2 linked regions of the Callithrix jacchus genome follow. The protein of the gene in region 1 interacts with the protein of each later gene in a biochemical or structural test. Links are inferred from orthologs where the notes say so. Each region holds a gene or a part of one and is shown in the gene's direction. Other genes may lie near its edges.

Region 1 (4,589 bases):
TATTTCAGTTGAAAGGTTTGAAGACATTATTAATGAATATCCTAAAATTCCAGAAGGTGGTTAAATTTTAACCTAATAAAAAAAAATCCTGCCATAGAGGTGGCAAAAATTATAAGCATAAATTTATTGAGCACCTACTATGAGCTAGGTGATTTACTAGTTATTTCCAATACTCTGGCCACTTTTCCGTTTTCTCAATTTCTCTATCAATAAACTCCTACATTGTTAATTTATATTACTTGAAATACAGATCAGCTCATTTATTCCATAAAGTTGGTCCCAAGGACGTTTCCTTATTCTAAGGAGGTGGGAAGCAGGAAGAGAAACCTAAATCTACATTCTACTGAATACTGAAGACGACTTTCTTGATATTTGTGGTATTATCTGCATGGTCTTTCAGAAATCCCCAAACTTACACCAAGGACTTAAGATAAAATCAGCAATCTATCGGGCTCAGAGACCACATCTGTCAGCTGTTGTTTCTTGCCTGAAATATCGTCCTGAACGGCGATGACCCCTCATTTAGGAAGGAAATCATGGCCTGTGAATACCTTAGCTCTGAGTCCTGCCACCCAGGATCCCAGGGGTCTACGAGAGGAGGAGGGAGGAGAGCGAGGACCGGGTGGGGGAGGCCGAGGTGACAGCAGGTGAGAGCCGGGTGCGGATGGGGAAGTGAGACAGGCACCGTGTGGGTATTACTCATTCCGCTCTGCTAACGAGGCTGCTGGCAAGCGGAACTTCTCGCCTCTTTTTCAGTCCAGCTGAACTTCAATCTCATTGAAGTCAATTCCCATCACGGTTCGCTCGCAGGGAAACCGTGCGTCCCTAAGGGAAGGGAGTCCGGGCTGCGTGGGTCAGGTAGCCTGTCTCCGGGCGCCGCGTGTCCTCGGCGTCCCCAAACCTGCCCTTCCCCTCATCAAGGGAAGTCCCCGGGGAGTCCAGACCACGTTCCCTTTCCTTGGCCCCGGGGTGAGCGGAGCAGACACGCGAGGCGTGGGACTGATGGCAGCCCTACCTCCAGGAAGCAGGCAGGCGGGGACCTCGGGGCGCTGGAAGGGGCAGCTCCGAGGGCACAGGATCCACGGGAAAAGCTGCCAGATCCCTCCCTGCCCCGGGAAGCGGGTGTGGTCAGCGCGGAGGCAGGACGCCGCGGAGCCTCCAACTTTACCTTTCCAACTGCGACAGCCCGTGGCCCTTCAGACCACGTCCCCACGGTTTCCCAACACCCGCCTCTCCCTCGCCCCACCACACCTGAGGAAAACTTTTCCCTCGCCCCTCAATTCAAACTCAGCAGTGCCCACGGTTGCCGCAAACTGCCCGGTCCTTAGCAACAAGGTTCCGGCCGTAGAGCGAGCGCCTCTAGGTGTAAGGAAGGTGATGTCGTAAAGCCGCGAGTGTCGTAAACCAGGTGCGGTGGGGAGGGGGGAGGGGTGGAGGCGGAGGGGTGGGGGGGAAGGGGGAGGGAGGGGGAGGAGGTGACTCGAGCATTTAGACACAAGCGAGAGGATCATGGCGGATGGCCCCAGGTGTAAGCGCAGAAAGCAGGCGAACCCGCGGCGCAATAACGGTAAGTGGCGGAGGGGACCGGGGAGCGGCGGAGTCAGGGGGAGCCGGGTAGCCGGGGCGCCCCCGGAGGTGAGGGGGGCGAGCCGAGCTGGGGGCGGCCGGGGCAGGGACGGCAAAGTGGAGTGGGAAAGTAGAAAGTAGTGCTCTCTGCCCCCCTCCGCTGCCGACGCTGCCGGAGCCGCGCCGCGGCCGCTCGCTCTCCCTGAACCGTTATGTCTCTTACCTGGTCTCTCTCCGCCTAGCGGCTCCCGCCGCCCCTGCCGCCTCCCTGGACCGTTAGCCGCCGCCGCCGCCGCCGCCGCATCCCCGGCGCAGGGCGGGCGGCCGGGACGCGCCGGCCACTTTTCTGGTCCCGGGTGGAGCGGCTGTTGCTTCTTTCCTCACTTTTCCCCACTCTTGTGCCCTTCGGCGCCTCCCTCTCCCCCTCCTCCCGGCCCCCTCAGTGGGATTCTCCCTCAGCGCCCAGGCCCCCGGGAGCCGCGGAACAAACTTGTGCCCGGCGCTGACCGTGCAAAGTGGCTTCCGCGCGCCGCGGCCCCGGCCGGCGCCTTCGCTCGGGCCCCGCCACTCGGGCCGGGTTGTGGGCGCGCGGCGGGCGGTGGCGGGACGGGGCGGCCACGGGCTGCGTGGGGTCTGTGCGCGCGTGTGCGCGGGCGCCGGCGGTGCGCGCCGCGGGCTGACGGGGCTCGGCCGGCGGCGGTAAAGTTGGGACCGGCGGGCCGGGCGCGCTCGCGGAACGGGGATTAGAGGCGCGGGGGCGCGGGTCCCTAAGCGCCCCTCCTCCCCGGCGCCTCCCGCCGCCCGGCCCAGCGCCCCGGCCTGGGGACTCTGCGGCGACCCCCACGAGTGGGGTACATGTTTGGCGGGGCGGCGCGGGGACAGGACAGGCAGTGCACCCAGTTAACGCCGCCAGGAGCTGCGCGGATGGCGGCGAGCTGGGCGGCGGGTGTGTTTGCGGAGTTGTTACCTGGTTAGGGACAGGGAAGCACCACAGACAGATCCCCCTCCCCGGGCAGACGCGGTCTCCGCCCCAGGATGGGCTGGTGTGCGTGCGCCTCGAGCTTTTCTCTTTCGGTTTTTGGGGAAGTTGTTACCTGGGCCGGACGCACGGAGCGCTGAAGCCGGATAATAGGGCTTGGATGGCGCTCTGGGTCTCGGGTGGAAGGAGGGTGGGGGAGGGGGCGGACGGACCGACGGACGCGCGGGGCTGCTGCTCGCGCGGCAGCTGCGGTGTTTATTGATTTGTGCTGCTGTGCCAGGGAAACACACCCCTCTGCCTGGCGTGAGAGTTAAAAAAAAAAAAAAAAAAGCGAGGGAGAGAGAGACAGCCCGAGGGATCGAGAACCGAACATGTGGTGGTGGTTGCACAGTCGCCTTTTCCAGTTTGGAGAGACGTTGTAAGTTGATTGTATTTCTGTTTATCTGGGGGCGATGCTGTGCTTTCTCTCCCTCTCGTGCAGCAGCGAAATGTCTGCTGATTGTTATTGTCTGGACAGTTCCTGTGGCGAGAGGGGCGAGACTTGTCCGCCCGGGGGCGGCGGGAGCTCCGGGAGAGCAGCCCCCGCCTGCGCCGCCCCGGTACCTGTTTGTATAATAATGGGCGGCAAACGGCCCTGCAGCCGGCCGCAGCCCAGGCTATATAAGGAATTACACGTACATTTCGGACCGAGGGGCTCGCTTCGGTTCCTGCGTTCTTTTTAAAACGACTTGTAAGAGAAGGGGAATAAATGCGTCTATAATGGGACCGCTGCAGCGTCGAGAAAACGAGGAAATAACGTGTTTAGGAGAAAACTCTCTCCTGCTCACCCCCACCCCGCCCCACCCCCGCGCCTGAGCTCCCTTTCTCCCTCCCCTCTGGGATGCGAAACGCGAGGTTTTGTAACCTTTCCTAGCAATTTTAGATTTTGTGTGGGATTTCCTGTCTAGAAGCAGATACGAAGATTTTAAAGCTGTTTCAAGACGTTTCCTTCCAATTCGTAAACATATTTTTAATATATTCGAGCCGACATTAAAATTACTGCTTTTATGAGTGATTTTAATTATTCATATAAACACTTGCATTTTAAAGACGTCTATTGATTATGATCGAAAGGTATTTTGGTATCCTCATTGTGGAGAGATGAGTTATTATAGCAAGGAGTGGAGCATAGGCTATTGCAATTTTAATTTCCTGTTTTAGCGTCAAATAGTGTGTGTTCTATATTGAGCTTTTACCGCTCTTGCTGATGTGGCTTTATGAAAGGTAAGTTGATTCGGAAAGGACTGTTCGCTTTTTACCTTATTTAAAATGTTGATCGCCAGAGAAAGGGGCTTTTCTTGTTGCTGACGACATGTGTGTGACATGTGAGTCTGAACCACCCAGTGTCTGTGCAGCTGCTGTAAACATGTTTACCTGAACAGGAAAGAATGGATTTTTCTCCTTAAGATCCTGTGATATGAATATTACGCTCGTAAGGCATATCAACAGATGACTTAAGGGGGAAAAGCGATCCTGAAAGGTACTTGAAATCAACAGGAAAGAGAGGTTCTTGATCGCTGCAGCAAATGGCAACTTGTGCAGGTAGAAAAAAGATGGTGTTTAGTTTTCTCCTGCATGTATGTCAGCCCCCTCCTGTCTGCTGCTTTCATTCTCCAGGGAGGGATTTATTTACCACGCTTTCTGTCAGTGTTTTTCCTTTGTGTTTAATATTAGAAAAACAGATTTGCGGCTGTTTAGCACAAAACGTCTTGTCTGCAGTATGCATTACTCTCAGAAAACAAAAGGTGTTAAAGATAGCACTGTACTACTACAGGTATCTTCCATTTTCATCACTTTTGGCTCTGTCCTTGTATTTCTTTTTGTTCTCAAATGTATTTCATCCATTGCTGGTGATTATAGCCATGCTATTTGATTTAGCCTTATATTTTGCAAATTAAAAATGAAGTTATATTCCATTGTGTTGTGAAACCTCGGTATATCTGCTGGTTAATATTTCTTAGCAATGCAGTCATATTTAAGTTGCAGATGTTTATTGGAAGGAATT
Region 2 (2,562 bases), on another chromosome or scaffold:
CCCATTGTGGCTTGTTTTCATCTCAAGCGGTTTGAACATGTAGGCAAACAGAGGCGAAAGATTAATACCTTTATCTCCTTTCCCTTGGAGCTTGATATGACTCCATTTTTGGCCTCTACTAAAGAGAGCAGAATGAAAGAAGGCCAGCCACCAACAGATTGTGTGCCCAATGAGAATAAGTATTCCTTGTTTGCAGTGATTAATCACCATGGAACTTTGGAAAGTGGCCACTATACCAGCTTTATCCGGCAACAAAAGGACCAGTGGTTCAGCTGTGATGATGCCATCATCACCAAGGCTACCATTGAGGACTTACTCTACAGTGAAGGGTATTTACTGTTCTATCACAAACAGGGCCTAGAGAAAGACTAGTTTTACCAGACCACTTACTGAAAAAAAAGTAAATGATTAGGCAAGTATTTGAAGTGACACACAAACCTACTTGGAATGGACAACGATAATAACACCTTTATGACAGGTAGTATCTTGATGTAAAGAACCTGTTTTAGCATGGCTCATGGGTATGTAGGAAGGAAAAAATGAATACTAACCAGTGACCTTTCAACCTTCAGAAATGAGGAGAGGGAGAAGAGGTTGAAAATGGTCTCATAAAGCATAATCAAATGAAAAGAATGCCTTAGGTGGGGAGAAAAGGAGTAGAGGTGTTCTGATGCTACTATATGTCATTTGTTTCTACAGAAATACCATGTGAAGTCAAAGTATTCCTTTATCAGCAAAAACTTCACAATTGGTGTTCCAGCTGTGGCTGGCCAGCCAAATAGTTTGAAAGAAAAATACTATTTTAAAATAAAATTTAAAAAGCTTTAAAAGAAAAACATTTAAAAAGGAAAAAAAATCATTTATAAAGTTTGAAAAAATTTTTAAATGTTGAAAAAATTTGAGTTGATATTTTTAAAAAATATTTTAAAAATTAAAAATAATTTTTTAATTTAAAGAAGTTTCAGAATTTTAAAAATTAAAAGCAAATGAAATTAAGAAATTCTTAAAGTTTAAAAATGTAAAATAGATTAAACAAGGAACAAGGTTAAAAATAAAAGTTTACCAAAAAATGAAAAAAATACTGTTAAAAATTAACGAGAAAAAAGGAACATCTTAAAACTTAAAAGTTTCAAATGAAGGAAAATAATATAAATAGATATGTCAAAATTAAAGCATAAAATATGCATATTTAAAAAGTTAACAAAATTATTACTGTAATGATTAAGAAATAAATTTTCAAAAATACAGAATGGAATGCAATTCAAATTTTAGAGAAAAGTTTTAAAGGAGGAAAGTTTAAAATAATTCGAGACAAAAAGACAAAATTTGTTTAAAGACAAAAATTGAAAAAAAGTAGGAAGAAAATGCTTGTGAAATAAGAACTTTACATAAGTTCAATTCAGGAGATTTAAATGAAAATTTAAAATATTTAATTAAAGATTCTAAAATATAAACTTAAAACAGTTACATAAAAATTGACAAATGAAAAAATGTAAAACAAGTAGAAAAATATTAAAATGAAAAGTTTAAAAGGTTCTATTTTTTTATTTAAGCATATTAAAATACAGACGGGTATGAAAGAAATAAATGGAGGAGACAGGAATAATAAGACGGGGTATGTCAGCATATATATTTTTGAGCTTTATGTTGATATATCAATATAATTTGCAAAAGGAAATAGACATTTTAATCATTATCTTACCATTATTTTGTGAGATGGCTGCAAGGCCTAAACACTAACCCACCTTCCCCTCTGAGATTCTTTTTTTTTGAGACAGAGTTTTGCTCTTGTTACCCAGGCTGGAGTGCAATGGTGCGATCTCGGCTCACCGCAACCTCCGCCTCCTGGGTTCAGGCAATTCTCCTGCCTCAGCCTCCTGAGTAGCTGGGATTACAGGCACACGCCACCATGCCCAGCTAATTTTTTGTATTTTTAGTAGAGACGGGGTTTCACCATGTTGACCAGCATGGTCTCGATCTCTTGACCTCGTGATCCACCCGCCTCGGCCTCCCAAAGTGCTGGGATTACAGGCTTGAGCCACCGCGCCCGGCCCCCCTCAGAGATTCTATGCCCCATCTCATATCCTGAAGGAAGTTAAATTACTTCCTAGGCATAATCAATTCATCTGAGAAAAATGAAAACATTAGGGACTTTCACATTTAGAACTGCATTATTCATACAAATTCTTAGCTTCTGAAAAGGGGTTCTTGATAATTTGGTGTCTTAGAGAAATTAGCTCACAGCTGTGAAGCTCTGGCTTTTGTATTTGAGCCCCATGGCCTGATTGAGGAAGTGGCAGGGACCCATATCTGAGGCCCTCCCTCCCACCCTCCTTTTTAGCCTTTAATTTCCGTAGTAGAGTTATGGGTTTGTGCTTGGAGTCCTTCTGCTCATTCGTTATTCCTTCTTTATTTCCTTTTTTCGTCACTCATGCCTAGTTTCCTGAACCCCTCACTTACCTGGCCTTACCTACATCTCTGAGCCCTAGCCTGTAGGGCTCCTTCTTTGACTATTTACCTGGTGGCTTTTACTCTTCCTTCAAGACCTGGCTCACAGATGAC

What was found.
Region 2: the proteins of ZEB1 (region 1) and USP51 form a complex in vitro, tested with the Homo sapiens proteins (2 studies listed by BioGRID). The link is inferred for Callithrix jacchus from reciprocal best matches to the Homo sapiens genes ZEB1 and USP51.

Annotation. Positions count from the first base shown.
Region 1 is NC_133508.1:31,108,514-31,113,102, forward strand, and holds the start of ZEB1 (zinc finger E-box-binding homeobox 1), read left to right. Parts: upstream 1-1,490; 5' UTR 1,491-1,509; coding exon 1,510-1,567; exon of another isoform or gene 1,568-3,801; coding exon of another isoform or gene 3,802-3,808; intron 3,809-3,911; exon of another isoform or gene 3,912-4,110; coding exon of another isoform or gene 4,111-4,126; intron 4,127-4,250; exon of another isoform or gene 4,251-4,358; intron 4,359-4,589. UniProt on the Homo sapiens protein: Acts as a transcriptional repressor. Inhibits interleukin-2 (IL-2) gene expression. Enhances or represses the promoter activity of the ATP1A1 gene depending on the quantity of cDNA and on the cell type.
Region 2 is NC_133524.1:55,843,224-55,845,785, reverse strand, and holds part of USP51 (ubiquitin carboxyl-terminal hydrolase 51), read left to right. Parts: coding exon 1-372; 3' UTR 373-2,562.